Mytilus edulis: one gene and its partner. The protein of the gene in region 2 binds, or shares a complex with, the protein of the main gene of each other region. Links are inferred from orthologs where the notes say so. Each region holds a gene or a part of one and is shown on either strand. Other genes may lie near its edges.

Region 1 (8,810 bases), on a different chromosome or scaffold from region 2:
ATTTCAACCCAGTATTTAAATTAAACTCTCTATGACGATAGATAAGATAAGATAATGAAAATCACTACAAGTTTTACATAACTCAGCAATACAAAAATCCTTACTCCGCCTATATACATGTAGACTTAAGAGACATTATATGAACGATAAACAAATCAAAAAAATACATTAACTAGATATATTTCTCATTTCTTAAGCTATTTTTTTTTTTATATTCGTTATTAATGAGTTTGCCTTTTAATCTGTATTTTTCATCACCATAATAGAACTAGAGAAACGATGATCTGACACCCAACCAATAACACCAAAAAATCGCATATATACAACTCAAAATGAAAAAATAATTTTAATCTCATGGTCAGCCCCCCTGCTCCCCCAGACATGAAGATTCTTGATCCGCCCTTGCCATATTATTCTTCATTTTTTTTTTCTCCATTTGTTATTTTTGGACCATTTTCAGAATTTTTTAATCATTTTACTATACTTGCGGAAAATTAATACTTTTATCGATCCTTATGAAGGTAAAACCAGAAAAGTACAATCGGGAGTCGGTCGCCTAAACAAACTCTTTTATGGTCGGTCCGTGTAACACTTATCAGTACTAATTTATTTGTTTTTAATTATAAAAAATACCATTATTTCCAAAATTTTCGTAATCAGTTTGAAATTTTCACCAAATGACTAAAATTTTTAAACCACTAAAATCATTTAAAAATTGTATTAGTTTAGATATTTCATCAAACTTTCAAAGTACTATACTTAACATGCAGTTTTAATTATTTCGCTTTTTGGAAGTTTGATTATTTTCCAGATACATGTATTAAAAATAGAAAAGGGGCGAAAAGAGAACATGCATATACCAATGATGCATTGATTACTTCGTGAAAATTCTATGACATCACTACATACACGGGCATAACGAACGAGTTGTGATATATATATATATATATATATATATATATACAACTCGTCTAAACATCAACCCAACAATGTTAGATCTGTAAATTTGCTTTCGCAAATTTTTGGTTCTTCCCTCGCCGGGATTCGAACCCATGCTACTGTGATATCGTGACACCAAATCGCCTGCACTGCAGCCGTCCCGCTAGACCACGCGACCACCTGGGCTCTCAAAAAAAGAGCTTTCGCTGGCCGTGTGTTACCTTTCCACGTCAGTTTTAATCTAGCGGCGTACTGCAGTACATGATATATAAGGCATGAAGATGTTATTGTTACAGATCAGCTAAATTATCTATAGTAAAGGATCCTACAAATGAATGTAAGATACAGTCACAGAAAATAATTATATTTATAAGTACGTCTGAGTCAGTGACAACCCTACAACAGATGTATCCATCGGATCGCCATCAATGATGGTGATACATGGCTGTGTACATAATGTATATACAACTCGTCTAAACATCAACCCAACAATGTTAGATCTGTAAATTTGCTTTCGCAAATTTTTGGTTCTTCCCTCGCCGGGATTCGAACCCATGCTACTGTGATATCGTGACACCAAATCGCCTGCACTGCAGCCGTCCCGCTAGACCACGCGACCACCTGGGCTCTCAAAAAAAGAGCTTTCGCTGGCCGTGTGTTACCTTTCCACGTCAGTTTTAATCTAGCGGCGTACTGCAGTACATGATATATAAGGCATGAAGATGTTATTGTTACAGATCAGCTAAATTATCTATAGTAAAGGATCCTACAAATGAATGTAAGATACAGTCACAGAAAATAATTATATTTATAAGTACGTCTGAGTCAGTGACAACCCTACAACAGATGTATCCATCGGATCGCCATCAATGATGGTGATACATGGCTGTGTACATAATGTATATACAACTCGTCTAAACATCAACCCAACAATGTTAGATCTGTAAATTTGCTTTCGCAAATTTTTGGTTCTTCCCTCGCCGGGATTCGAACCCATGCTACTGTGATATCGTGACACCAAATCGCCTGCACTGCAGCCGTCCCGCTAGACCACGCGACCACCTGGGCTCTCAAAAAAAGAGCCAGCGAAAGCTCTTTTTTTGAGAGCCCAGGTGGTCGCGTGGTCTAGCGGGACGGCTGCAGTGCAGGCGATTTGGTGTCACGATATCACAGTAGCATGGGTTCGAATCCCGGCGAGGGAAGAACCAAAAATTTGCGAAAGCAAATTTACAGATCTAACATTGTTGGGTTGATGTTTAGACGAGTTGTATATACATTATGTACACAGCCATGTATCACCATCATTGATGGCGATCCGATGGATACATCTGTTGTAGGGTTGTCACTGACTCAGACGTACTTATAAATATAATTATTTTCTGTGACTGTATCTTACATTCATTTGTAGGATCCTTTACTATAGATAATTTAGCTGATCTGTAACAATAACATCTTCATGCCTTATATATCATGTACTGCAGTACGCCGCTAGATTAAAACTGACGTGGAAAGGTAACACACGGCCAGCGAAAGCTCTTTTTTTGAGAGCCCAGGTGGTCGCGTGGTCTAGCGGGACGGCTGCAGTGCAGGCGATTTGGTGTCACGATATCACAGTAGCATGGGTTCGAATCCCGGCGAGGGAAGAACCAAAAATTTGCGAAAGCAAATTTACAGATCTAACATTGTTGGGTTGATGTTTAGACGAGTTGTATATACATTATGTACACAGCCATGTATCACCATCATTGATGGCGATCCGATGGATACATCTGTTGTAGGGTTGTCACTGACTCAGACGTACTTATATATATATATATATATATATATATATATATATATAAAAGTCTATAAAAAGGACCAACCAGCAAATTTACTATGTACCGGATCGTCTAGAATAGGCGATACTATGCAGATAAGGAAAAAATTATATCAGTCTAAAGATTTGCACAACGGTACTGATATAAGGTGTTATTAAACGAAAATGTTGTTATAAAATCGTGTTGACAAATATTTCGGCTCAACAAATGGCCTTCTTCTTGTGTCACAAGTTTTAACAATACTGATACATAATGTATAAGGTGTGAAAATAGATCAGGTGATAATACAGGTAAGTTTTGGTCGATTGATTTTAATCCTGAATATCATAATTTAAACAAAACACTATAAATCAATATACGTGACTGTGTATATTAACAATAAAAATAAGTGAAAACAAAACTGTTAGTATTTCTTATTGATGCCGTTTGGGTGATGTACATTAAGTTCCTTTATCCAAAAGCTTTCCCGAACCTGTCGCTGTGCATCACTCCAGTGAATGTTCTGTTCAATCACTAGAATTTTCATGCGGTTAAAGTCATCAAGTTTGTGATCTGACTGTCTGAAGTGCTGAGAGACTGGAAGAAGTGGCTTCTTAGATATATCACTCCTATGGCCATTGAGGCGTTTGTGGAAAGGCTGCTTTGATTCACCAACATATTGGAGGCCACAAACCGAACATTCTAGTATGTAAATAACATTCATACTTTTGCAGGTAACATTGCAAAATATCTTATAGTTATTTTCGGTTGCCTTACTGTGAAATGTTGACGAATGCTGCATCTGTAAACAGCATTTGCAGCGTTTTTCTCCACACGAACGACATTCTCCAGAAGTACTTCTATTATCAGACACTTCAGCCCGCACTAGTAGGTTCCGTAGACTACTAGGTTGCCTAAAAGCTATCATTGGAGGCTCAGGGAAAATCTTGGACAGTTTGGAATTCTTTTCAACTGATTTCCAATGCTCACGAATGACACCAAAGCTGTTTTTGAGAGATGGGTGATAAGTTAGAACACATGGAGTCCTTTTGCTTTTCTTTTTAACTTTGTATTCCAATAGTTCACTCCTCGGAATTGACTCCGCTTTCTGAAAGCTTTTTTTGATATTTCTGTGTTTGTAGCCCCTTTTCTTCAAGCGAGTTTCAAGTTTACGCAGTTGTCTTTTAGTTGTTTCTGTGTTGGAGCATATTCGCTTGACTCTAAGTGCCTGACTGTATGGAATGCTCTTGGTAAGATGAGCAGGATGGCAACTTTTAGGGGACAAATATTGATGAGTGTCAGTAGGCTTAGAATATAAATCTGTAGATATGATGCCCTCTGTGAGCGAACTTGAAGTATCGAGGAAGGCGATTTTGGATTTAGACTTCTCATGAGTAAATTTGATACTTGGATGTATGTTGTTGGCATGAGTGATAAAAGTGTCTAAATCCTCGTCGCTTTTATTCCATTTCATATCCACATCATCTATAAATCTAAACCAGGAAAGCGGTTTTTCGATGGAAGTTTCAAGGAGTTGTTTCTCTAATTTGCCCATAAATATGTTGGCATATGACGGAGCCATTTTGGTGCCCATGGCAGTTCCATTTACTTGCAAATAATGATCTCCATCAAAAGTGAAGTTGTTTTTCTTAAGTACCAGCGTGAGCATTTTGACCAGGCATTCAGTAGGTGGATATTTCACTGGTCTGGAATTCCAAACTTCTTTGCATGCATCGATGCCATCTGCATGTGGAATATTAGTGTAGAGGGAGGTAACATCCATATATACATCGTATGATATAAAGCAAAAGGTACATCGCCGACTAAAAAAGAAAGGAAAATTAACAATAGGGAATGAACAATCGTCTCTTTTGTGGTAAATTTTAATGTGGAGTTTCCCTTTCGAAATTGAAATGTCTAAATCTATGTTAGATTTATTTAAAATAAAGTTCATTTGGGTAAATTTCTGTTGTACATTAGAGAACTCTGGATTATTTAACGAAACAATATATCATCAAGATAACGGTAGGTATTGTTGAATATATCAACCAAATGTAACAATGCCGTGTCTTTACTGAGATTGGTCATACACTGTGATTCATAGCAATACAGGAATAAATCTGCTATTAAAGGGACACAATAAATGCCCATAATGATACCTTACCTGTCGACACATTTTATCGCCGAACGTACATATATGTAGGTTAGGGGGAAATTTAAAGCTTCAATCAAATCTTCACATTTCCATTATGTGTATCTAGCATACTTTCCTTTTTCGTTACAGAAAAAAAGGCTTTCAACAAGTTATATAATAAATTTGCAATGCGATTTTAATAGACCATTCAATTAAATATCGGAAAACTTTTTCTTGATAAGATTGTGTTGAAGTGTAGTGTATAGAGTAGAAAATTCATAATTGTCAACAGAATTAAAAGAACCATCAAATGTATATATTTTATCAGAGACATATAATACATGTATTATAGATCATTATATATATGTCTTTGATTTTAATCATTATCGAACACCTCTAAAAAAAATCTACAAAAATATTAAAAACCATTATTTTCATAATCTGTATTACAAAAGTAGATAACAAGTCCTTTGATAGTAGTAAGAGGCAAATAACCGTAAAAAGCAAGCCCAATCTTTTGTTTCCTCAGACGGAATGTTATCCAAAAAGAACTTTGAAATTTCCCACCCTGTAAGTACAGTAATCACGTGATACGATGGTTGTCAAAATGGCGGCTGGTCTGCCAAGATCTGGGCTGTTCGAAGTATATATTCGACAGCAATGGTGCAGAGTTTACGTTACTTTAAATGAGGATTCGTTGACTTTAACACTTGATGAAAATCCAGAGTTAGCAAATAGCACTCTTGGATCATCAGATGCACCTAGCACACTTCCTAAAACGGACCAGTTACCAGACAGTCTCGCCGGGCAAAAACGACTTGTGCGAGTGGTTAAAGAGGAACAGAATGGCCTTGGAATCAGTATTAAAGGTGGAAAAGAGAATAAAATGCCAATTTTAATAAGTAAAATCTTCAAAGGAATGGCGGCAGACAAAACTGAAAAGCTTTATGTAGGAGATGCTATTTTGTCTGTAAATGGTGAAGATCTAAGGGAAGCAACTCATGATGATGCTGTAAAAGCATTGAAAAAGGCAAAAAAAGTTGTAGATATAGAAGGTAATCAAATTATCATATTATAGTCTAGATGCGTAACCGTAGCTCTTAGGTCCTTATGTTGGTCCGCAAATAGTAAAAAAATAACATAAGGACCTAAGAGCTACGGTTCCGCAGCTAATTATAGTCTTATAACGCATCCAAGAGTCGCATTTATTTTTATAGAAATAGAATAATCAGGCTCAGATGCGTCCCACTGGTATCGGGTTCGTTCGCCCTGATTACATCATGTACATGTTCGTCCTAGGTTCGTTCGCACTGAGTTTGTTCGCCCTGGGTTCATTCGCCCTATATTCATTTATGATACATGTATGTATATGTTACATTAACGAACGAAATATACACATGTATATAGATATATATATTGAAAATGTATATCTATTAAAAGTTAAATACAGAATATTTACCAAATTTATATTAATCAAGGATTTGTATAGTACATACAAATCCTTGTGTTAATTAAATAAAATTCTTGGCTGCATTTTTACACTTTATTAACTTTTAATTACTGTTCATTGAATTTTGATTGCTGATAATGTATCATTTGAAATCTTTGATATCACCGATTGTTATATGAATTGTCCTTGATGGATTAATAATGAAAACAACATTTTTCTCAAATAAAATAGTCAGCTTGGATGGGTTAAAACACTGATGACAAGTGATGTACAGCAGCCAGTGTGACTGTGTTTTTGGTATTTGTTTCACAAATAATAATTCAAATTAGTGCTTTTAAATATTCGATTAGGAAATAAATGTGTGCGAAGTACAGTTCGGAATTGATCTTGTTATATTAAACTGTTACTGAATATTTTCAAATTGTTAAAATGTATCAATAAAGTTAAATATATGTGTTCCAGACCGTATGAGTATTTGGACCGTACGCGTACGGTCTGGACCGTATGCGTACTTTTTCAAAAAAACTCATACGGTCGGACCGTACGCGTACGGTCTGACTAATATTAAAAAGTTGGTGAAGTTTATTAGTTACAAATGCATATAGCAGATCAACATAACTTAACTCAAATTAATCTAAAAAAGTTCAATTGTAATCGAAACAAAAACTTTATATTTTAACTTTTTTTAAATTCACGCTAATTAAATCTGTTAATCTCTTGTATTAAGCATGTCGATCAGTAATACATTAATTGAATTATGATCACTGAAATTGAAGATATCGGAAGTAAACATAATGTGGGAGGACAATTGTTTTAGAATATTTAGCAACTTTACCAAAAAAAGCAAAATGCAAAGGAACATGCATGAACTGCATACATGAAAATGTAAAAAATATTACGTTACTTGAATTGTGTCACCTTGGGAGAGAGTACCAAAATGGGATTCAGATAAAATTAAACAATTACTTAATTTCAATTGTTCGTTTGTTCATTTTATCTATCTAATTGTAATAAATTATCAATAACAATTTGTAAAACTAAAAATAAAGATTGTGATAAATGCTTGTTTCCATTTAACCCATATGATCAAATAACATGTATGGTCAGCTCGTACTGGACCGTACGCGTATACTCATACGGTCCGACCGTACGCGTATGGTCGGACCGTACGAGTATACGTATACGGTCCGGACCGTACGCGTACGGTCCAAATACTCATATGGTCTGGAACATAGACATAGTCTTCAGTTGTTTTATGTCAAATACTTTGTAGTCTTTGAATTCACAGAAACTTATCCTCGTAGCAGCAAGACAACAACTTAGTCTTCAGTTGTTTTACTTTTAAAAATACGATGTAGTGCTGAAATTCAGAGAAATTTATTTCCTTATAGCAGTACCACAGATGACAATATACATCATAAATAAATATTCGGTGAATTTAAACTTCAACATATATTCAATTACATACAAATAATTTAGTCTTCAGTTGTTTTACATTTAAAATACCTTGAAGTCACAATATCTTGTAGTCCTGAAATGTACAGAAACTTATAACCTGGTAGCAGCTAGCTATAAACAAAATGATACATCGTAATTATTCGTCCAAATTGTAGACTGACTTCAACACATTCAATTATATAGACACAACGCAACACTCTACTAAAAAATAAAATCAGGGCGAACAGACTTGGGGCAAACAGGTATTAGGGCAAACAGAAACTAGGGCGAACCAGAATCAGGGCGGACGGACCCAGAATCCGTCCCACCCAGGGTGCCTCTAGTCATGCTAGTGGCGGATCCAGAAATTTTCTTATTAGGGGGCCCACTGTGGCTGCCTGCTTTTGATTTCATCGTTGGGTCATTATTAATAAATATATGATACTGAAACGGACATGAATTAAAAAAAGTATTTGCCATTATCCTAATAGTTTCTGATAATATCAATAAAATATGTCATTCAAACTATAGTTTTAAAGTGATGCCAGCTAGTGTATCATGTTTATCAAACTTATAATCTGTCACTTCAAAATTGTTATAATCCAATTTATTTCATCACAGAAGTGTACAGAATGCAAACCAGGTTATAAGAAATGGGGTCGATAGCAATCCAAAATTCTGAAACTATTATAAAACACGTCACATCAAATTGAAACACCATTTTTTGTCATTTTACATGATAATATCTATCTACTTTATGACAAAAATGTATTTATTTACGATTAGAAATGTGTGGTTAATTTATTGAGCAGTTCCGATAGTTTTTCAGTCTGAAGCTACCAAAATCTATAAATCTCTTGAAGTCTCACAGTCTTAAACATCATGAACATTGCATGGTTAAAGAGATTTAAAAAAAAAAAATCAAATATTATTTTATCTTGGTAGTCACATAGTAGTCTACAATTATATAGGAAAAAATTAAAGTAAAGTATTTGCTTCAGTTTATTTATCACGAATCATAAGTATTAAATGCAACTTTAAGTGCTGTTTAATC
Region 2 (8,327 bases):
GAAAATCTACACAATGAAGTCAAACAGATAACTATAATCAGTGCAATTCATTTCTGTAATGATACTAACAAAATGATCTACAGCAAACAACACCTCAGAAAACAATCAACCACAAAGTACAGATAATAACGGAAATATAAATAAAACCATAATTCAAAATCAACCAGGTATACAAAAATCAATCTTTTATTTATTCCTTATGTACAAAACTTTTTTCTGTAAGATATTTTCAGATGATGACTCAATGCATGAGCACTACCTACACAGAAGAAAATTAAATAATTTCATCAAAGTGTATTACAGAACATATGCAGATCTGATTAACTGATTATCATCTAATATTTCACTGAAAAGATGCACATTCAATCGATAGTCAAACTTTCCTGTAGTTTTACTATGACATAATTCACTGTAGAATTATCATATTTCAATATTGTACACAAAATATGTTTGCAGATGAAAAACAAATTTAGAATTTAATTAGCCTCCATGAGATGATAATATTTTTGCAGATGCAGATGAGTGTATGCAATTTAAAATATCTGTACAGTAATTTTTATATTTATCCTACTAAACTTTGCATGTCAACTACAATAACTCATAAAATTATTAAAGACAACCAATCAACATGATCCATTTGTGACATTCTATTGAGGTATGTGTGGTGGTGTCAGTAACTAGTTCAAAATTTATCATTTACAATATATTTTATTTAATCGTATTTTTCTAAGTGATAAACAATTTTTCTTTATATACACAATGTTTTTCAATTTTAACAGATGGACAGATGACATTTCTATGTCAGCCTTGTGGAACCCAAATTAACAGAAAGTTTAATATCTGTGGTGAATAGTATGGGCTTTGCTAATTGTTGAAGGCCGTACGGTGACCTATATTTGTTAATGTCTGTGTCATTTTGGTCTTTTGTGGAAAGTTGTCTCATTGGCAATCATACCACATCTTCTTTTTTATATTACACTACAGACAATATTTCCGCAAGATCAATAATAGTCTCATGTCTTAAAGTAATGGCCCAAAGATAAATTTAAATGCCTTGTAGACATATGAGGCCTTATAATGGGAAAGACTTTAATACAGTCCACAGAAGAATATAAGGTCAAACAGGCTGTGTTAGCCTTCATGCTCAATGCTTAAGTTGAGACTAACAGCCAGTAGGTCAATATTTAGGTTTAGAAATTCTTGAGGTTCAATGTGCCAGAAAATATGTAAATACATTAACTCATGGGGAACCTAGGACTAGACTGGATCATTTCAACTTTAAAAGCCAATGTGATCCTTTCCAATGTTTTTTCCTTCAGGTTATAGTTGCTGTACTATTTACAGACAAGTTTCCATACTCTCAATAATTTATTTCACTAAAGGTTCCATCCATCAATCTGCCTATTTTCTACATTAACAATATAGCATAATAGATCAATACTGGTCGTTTACAGATAATTATAAAGTAATATACACTTCACTATAGGTCTAAGGACATAAAATACTAACATATTGTAGTATATATAGTACTTCCTCCATCTTAAATGAAATTCAATTACTATTTCCATTTTTTCCTATTTTTTCTGAATCAATAGAGTTTCTTTCAGAGAATACTTTTGAAGGTGTTCATATGAAATTAGGATTTGCAATAAATGCCAGTAAGTGCTTTACAGAAACAAGAACCTGTCCGTAGTATACGGATGCGCCACTTGCACTATCATTTTTCTATGGTCAGTGGACCATGATTTTGGGGTCAAACTTTAATTTGGCATTAATTTTTGGTTCTCTTTCTAGTTCAAAGTATGAACTTCCAAACTATATCTTTTTCTCATTAAATTGTAAGGGAGACATAATGAAGTATCATTTGAGTGTTGATATGATTTACTTGTCTATTAGCATGTGAGTTTTGATATGATTTACCTGTCTATTATCATATGAGTGATGATATGATTTACCTGTCTATTATCATGTGAGTGATGATATGATTAACTTGTCTATTAGTATGTGAGTATTGATATGATTTACCTGTCTATTAACATGTGAGTGATGATATGATTAACCTATCTATTAGTATGTGAGTATTGATATGATTTACCTGTCTATTAACATGTGAGTGATGATATGATTTACCTGTCTATTATCATCCGAGTGATGATATGATTTACCTGTCTATTAACATGTGAGTGATGATATGATTTACCTGGCTATTAGCATGTTAGTGATGATATGATTAACTTGTCTATTAGCATGTGAGTTTTGATATGATTTACCTGTCTATTATCATGTGAGTGATGATATGATTTACCTGGCTATTAACATGTGAGTGATGATATGATTTACCTGGCTATTAGCATGTTAGTGATGATATGATTAACTTGTCTATTAGCATGTGAGTTTTGATATGATTTACCTGTCTATTATCATGTGAGTGATGATATGATTTACCTGGCTATTAACATGTGAGTGATGATATGATTTACTTGTCTATTAGCATGTGAGTTTTGATATGATTTACCTGTCTATTATCATGTGAGTGATGATATGATTTACCTGTCTATTAGCATGCAAGTGTTGATATGATTTACCTGTCTATTATCATCCGAGTGATGATATGATTTACCTGTCTATTATCATGTGAGTGATGATATGATTTACCTGTCTATTAACATGTGAGTGATGATATGATTAACTTGTCTATTAGTATGTGAGTATTGATATGATTTACCTGTCTATTAGCATGTGAGTTTTGATATGATTTACCTGTCTATTAACATGTGAGTTTTGATATGATTTACCTGTCTATTAACATGTGAGTTTTGATATGATTTACCTGTCTATTAACATGTGAGTGATGATATGATTTACTTGTCTATTAGTATGTGAGTATTGATATGATTTACCTGTCTATTAACATGTGAGTGATGATATGATTTACTTGTCTATTAGCATGTGAGTTTTGATATGATTTACCTGTCTATTATCATGTGAGTGATGATATGATTTACCTGTCTATTAGCATGCAAGTGTTGATATGATTTACCTGTCTATTATCATGTGAGTGATGATATGATTTACCTGTCTATTAGCATGTGAGTGATGATATGATTAACTTGTCTATTAGCATGTGAGTGATGATATGATTTACCTGTCTATTATCATCTGAGTGATAATAAGATTTACCTGTCTATTAACATGTGAGGGTGTATATGATTAACTTATCCATAAGCATGTGAATGTTGATATGATTTACCCGTCTATTTCATGTGAGTGTTATTATGATTTACCCGACTATTTCATGTTAGTGTTGTTAGTGTTGATATGATTTACCTGTCTATTAGCATGTAGGTGTTGATATGATTTACCTGTCTATAAGCATGTGAGTTTGATAGGATTTACCTGTCCATAAGTATGATAACGTTAATATGATTTACCTGTCTATAAGTGTGTGCCTGTTGATAAGATTTACCTGTCTTTCCTTTGAAGCAGTAAAGACAGTCCACACAACATCTATTCTTAGATTTACCTGTCTATTAGCATGTAAGTGTTGATATGATTTACCTGTCTATTGACATATAAGTGTTAATAAGATTTACCTGTCCATAAGCATGTGAGTGTTGATATGATTTTCCTGTCTATTAACATGTGAATGTTGATATGATTTACCTGTCCATTAGCATGTGAGTTTTGATATGATTTACCTGTATTTCCCTTGAAGCAACAAAGACAGCCCACACAACATCTACTCCTGGATTTTTTCTTTCTATTGGTTTTCCTAAACTGCTTCAGTTTCTTATATTCCTTACTATTATTAATTTCACATACAGAGTCATTTGATCCCGTTCTCTTTAAAAGTTTATAATTTTGTTTTTCATCTTCATCTTGCGAGCTGATTTCTGATTGGTCAGATGAAGTGACCAGTGGCCATGTTGCTGATTCTTCTTTATTCATGAATCACATAAATTTAACATCATGTACAAAGTAAACAAACCATATCCAGTGTAAAATTATACTTCACTTAATATCCCATTAAATAAAACCAAGAATATTGGAAAACCTAATAAGCTATTAACTATTGGAAGTACCATATGATATGTTTGTTCCTATTGTTAAATAGAATTAGTGACAAAGCAGGTTTTTTGTTGTAAGTCAACATTAAGTAGTAAATCCACATAAAACAGGTTTTATATTGAACATTTTCTATTCCATGTCATTTGAATTAATCCAGCAAATCCAATATTTATAGAGTAATACAGAGACTGGGAATTGTACACATTTTAAGCATATTGTTTAATTAACTTTTCCTGCATGTATTGGTTGATAAGGGTAAAAAGCATTCCACATTTGAGAATTCATTTCATTTCCCCTAAACTATAGTCCTATTTTTAATTTCATATACAACATGTACAAGTTTTTGAGATAACATGTATCATGTTATAAAACATAATCATGTTTCACTAAATAATTAGCTAAACATCTCATCAAATTTGTTTACATAATCCTATCCTAAAAATGCATATTTGCATGTAAATATATATGACATGTATATAATTATAAAGTATAATTTTCTGATAATTATTTAAATCCACGTTTATGTAACAAATAATAAAATATCTCCTTTTCAAATATCAAAACATGATTGTATAAATGTATAGAAAGAACATATATTCCATGAGCTAGCTAGTCATGGTAGTGTTATAACACAATGTTCCATATCGTTCATGTAACCATGGTCCAACTTCTAAGCAGAGTAAAACTTGTTTAACAAACAATTCTACTTGAGACAACTCAAGTTAAGTCACAATTCAAATCCTTCTGCTATTCTATTATCTAGAAGAAACACAAATTATGGTTCATTCCAATTTGATCATGTTGATCAGCCATCTTTATAAACATGCTGTACCATCACCTTTCAGCATCATTTTATAATTTCTTCCATTTGATGAATTTTAATATCCATTAAAACAACCGCCTTTATAAGGAAAGCATGAAATAGATAGATGGTTGATTATCCTATAAATTCACCTGTTACATTCTCAGTTTTTATTTTATGTTGTTCATATCATATTAAATACAATCTATTAACTTTTTAATTTTTCACTAATATTCTCTGTAGCATATGCTTATCTTTTGTCTCCAACCTGTTTATACATTATAAAGCTGTGAATGCTTAGTAAAAAATAATATTACTATTATTTTCTCAATCATAATTTCTCCAATATTCACTTTTCTGTTTGCTTTTCTAATTTTTTTATACTTCATTATCATGAAAAAATTTCCCCTTCAAATATCACTCAGCAAATTTGAAATGTGAATTTCCAATAGTACCGTACTTGTCTAGTTAATGTAGTTTTTACTTTAACAGGTTGTGACTTGTATGTTTTATCTATATTCTGTTTAACATTATAATCATGTTAATAAGCAATAATCATAATATTACAATTTGTTCAAAACCACTTTTTTTCACATATATCTTTTTCTATATAAAAGCAAATTATTTTAACATTTATCCCTTATCTGCATTTTTTCAAGCGTAGAACCCCCTCAGGGCCAATAATCAATATGAAAAAACATTTTTTTTCTCATCAAACTTTTATACGGTAATTAGTATGCTCCATGAAGAATAATATATCCTTTAGCCATCAGCAAATAAAATTAGGTCTGAACAGAGCTTCAGCACAATGGAATCTCTCTTCTAATAACAAACATGTAAGTAACAATGATTGTAATTAGTGTGACTGATGTGTGACAATAGCACAGTCTATTTGACACCATGTGAAAGAACAGTAGAGTGTACCACCTTATCAAAGTGGTAAATAGTGACATACTTTTAACATCTGAGTATACAAAGTGTACATACTATCCATCTACAGTTATTATGGTTATGCACATACAACAAAGTAGTCATAATCTAAGGTCAGTTTGTTTTTCTTACAACTGACTGTTAAAGGGGCACTAGCTACGATATATATAAAGAAATAAAGTATGATTTTTTTTAGATCAATCATTAATCGAATTGAAATAATGAAATAATAATTTGCTTTTAACAATCAATTTCCTTTAATTTTGTTGAAATAAGCGATTAAACATAATTTTTGACTGATTCACTTGCAAGTGAAAACGTCATCATCATTCTAACCGGTATTCATGTGAACTTCAAGTTAACCCCTAGCTAGAGATTGACAACGCATGCATTGTACGTGTACTGGTTATTTAAAGAAAAAGAATGTCAACAATGAAAGTGAAACTACGGTAAATCATTTGATAACTAATTCGATGCACATAAAATCATTCTTTTATGGTTAAAAACAATGAGAAACATCTATTTTTAATCTATAGAATAAAATCAAACAGACCTATAAAAATGCAATTGCACGTGTTGGTTTAATCTATTTGTATCTTTATTTTTGTTTACATCGCTTATATGGTCATCTGAGGTCAAATCGATAGGTAATTAGATGGCGTCTGGACTAAAATACACACGAAACGAACCTATATATTATCTACCCCATGCTCTGTAAACTGTTTATTTTAGACTTTTGATAGTTTGGATAAATGTTTTACATTGTTATAAACCAAATATGAGAATTTGAGTCAAATCGGTTACAATGAATTTGACAGCCAGTGCCCCTTTAAGCAGTCAGAGCTCAGACATAAACAAGTCTATTTCTGTTTTTGACTTAAAGAAGTCAAAACATGTATTCTTTATAAAAATGTGTTTTCAATTTTAGACTTATCTAAGTCACAAAATGACAGACTTGTTTAGGTCTATTTATGTTGATGAAAAAACTTAACTTGACTTGGTGGCCAAACTACACCACCTTTGACAGTAAAAACCTGTCGGAGAGTTCACAAGGACTTGATCTATCTATATTTAATTATCTAATTGAACATTCTTACTAAACACAGATGTTTTACCTCATTAAGGGTGGATCCAGGTGGTTGCATTGTAAGGTTAATTAAGGTAGATTCATGGTATACCGCCATCTTGGATTGAACAATCACAGTAAAAAATCGGTCTAGTTATTTGCCTAAATCTGCAAATTTGAAGACAGATTTGCAATTTATTGGTTAGACTGTTTAATAATATAAAGAAAACTTGGCAATTTATTGTATAATCCAAAATATTTAAACAAATATAATTTTTCTTGCTTTTAGAATCATTTTTTTCAAACGAGCCATTTAAGGGAAGATAACTCTTTTAGTAAAAAATTTATACTGGACAGATAGGGAATTTTTTTCTTTTTACTTGTAGCAAGAAAACAAGTTCGGTGACACCATTTTTTCTTTTTATTTTCTTAAAACATATTACAAAACCTATCTTTTCACAATTTTTTTCAAAATTCTATCTCATAGATTTTTTTTTATGCACACAAATGTGTTTTCCCATGAACAATCTAACCAAATTTAGGCAATTTTCAACGACTCATAGCTTGAAAAATAGCACGGTAACCCCTCCTTTTTATTATATATTTGAAAAGAGCATATCAAAATCTTCATTCTGGCTAAGTATAAGAAAATTCTGTCTCAAAAAATATTTACTTATGATCTACCTTAACATGATCCCCGATTTTTCAGACTCTCATTCATATTTTTCTTTAGAAGACAAGGCATTGGCTTTCAATGTTGTCATTATTTGATTTAGATGCATGACCTTTTTATAAGTATGTGTGGGTCTTGAAGTTGACCAATTTTGGTAACTTATCGACTTGTAGGAGTTGATATTTGCAACTTTTTGATTCTGGTCAATCATTTCTTGCTTAACAATATTTGACTTATTCAAGTCGTATTTTGTCTTGCATTAAAGGGAGACAAATCCTAAAACTTACAAATTTAGACATCTATAAGTCAAAAGCAGATTCAGACTTGTTTATGTCTGAGCTCTGACTGTTAAGGGCATACAATACAGTTACAGGGGAGGTAATGATGTTGCTAATGTAAATTGTTATTTTTGCAACATCAAACGTTGACTTATCGAGAAAAGATACAGTTTTCGACTGATTTTTATCATTCAAACTGATTTAACTGGAAAAAGAGTTGATAGACCCCTCTGTTTTAAAATGACATTTGGTTTGATTATGCAAGAAGATTACGTGTACCAATTTTCATGAAAACGTAAATGGTGCATTTTTTTTTAATTTAATCAATATACAGCAAAAAATGACATTTTTCTACATTAATGAACATTTGATGAATTTGAGTTATTTGTATAAACAAAATGTACAAATTTATGCAATATTTAAAAAGCACATAAATTACAAATTATTTAACAAACAAGAATGTGTCCATAGTCAGATAGTACACGGATGCCCCACTCGCACTATCATTTT

The links.
Region 1: dystrobrevin beta-like (region 2) and beta-1-syntrophin-like share a complex: the UniProt entries of both Caenorhabditis elegans proteins name them as parts of the dystrophin glycoprotein complex. The link is inferred for Mytilus edulis from reciprocal best matches to the Caenorhabditis elegans genes dyb-1 and stn-1.

The regions. Positions count from the first base shown.
Region 1 is NC_092348.1:91,641,425-91,650,234, forward strand, and holds the start of beta-1-syntrophin-like, read left to right. Parts: upstream 1-5,446; 5' UTR 5,447-5,464; coding exon 5,465-5,924; intron 5,925-8,810. Other genes in the region: uncharacterized protein, read right to left, coding at 3,513-4,518. UniProt on the Caenorhabditis elegans protein: Adapter protein that binds to and probably organizes the subcellular localization of a variety of membrane proteins. May link various receptors to the actin cytoskeleton and the dystrophin glycoprotein complex (DGC).
Region 2 is NC_092344.1:122,599,615-122,607,941, reverse strand, and holds the start of dystrobrevin beta-like, read right to left. Parts: upstream 4,022-8,327; 5' UTR 3,949-4,021; coding exon 3,699-3,948; intron 1-3,698. UniProt on the Caenorhabditis elegans protein: Plays a role in cholinergic transmission and as a functional partner of dystrophin (dys-1), necessary for muscle maintenance. Required for localization of ctn-1 near dense bodies in muscle cells.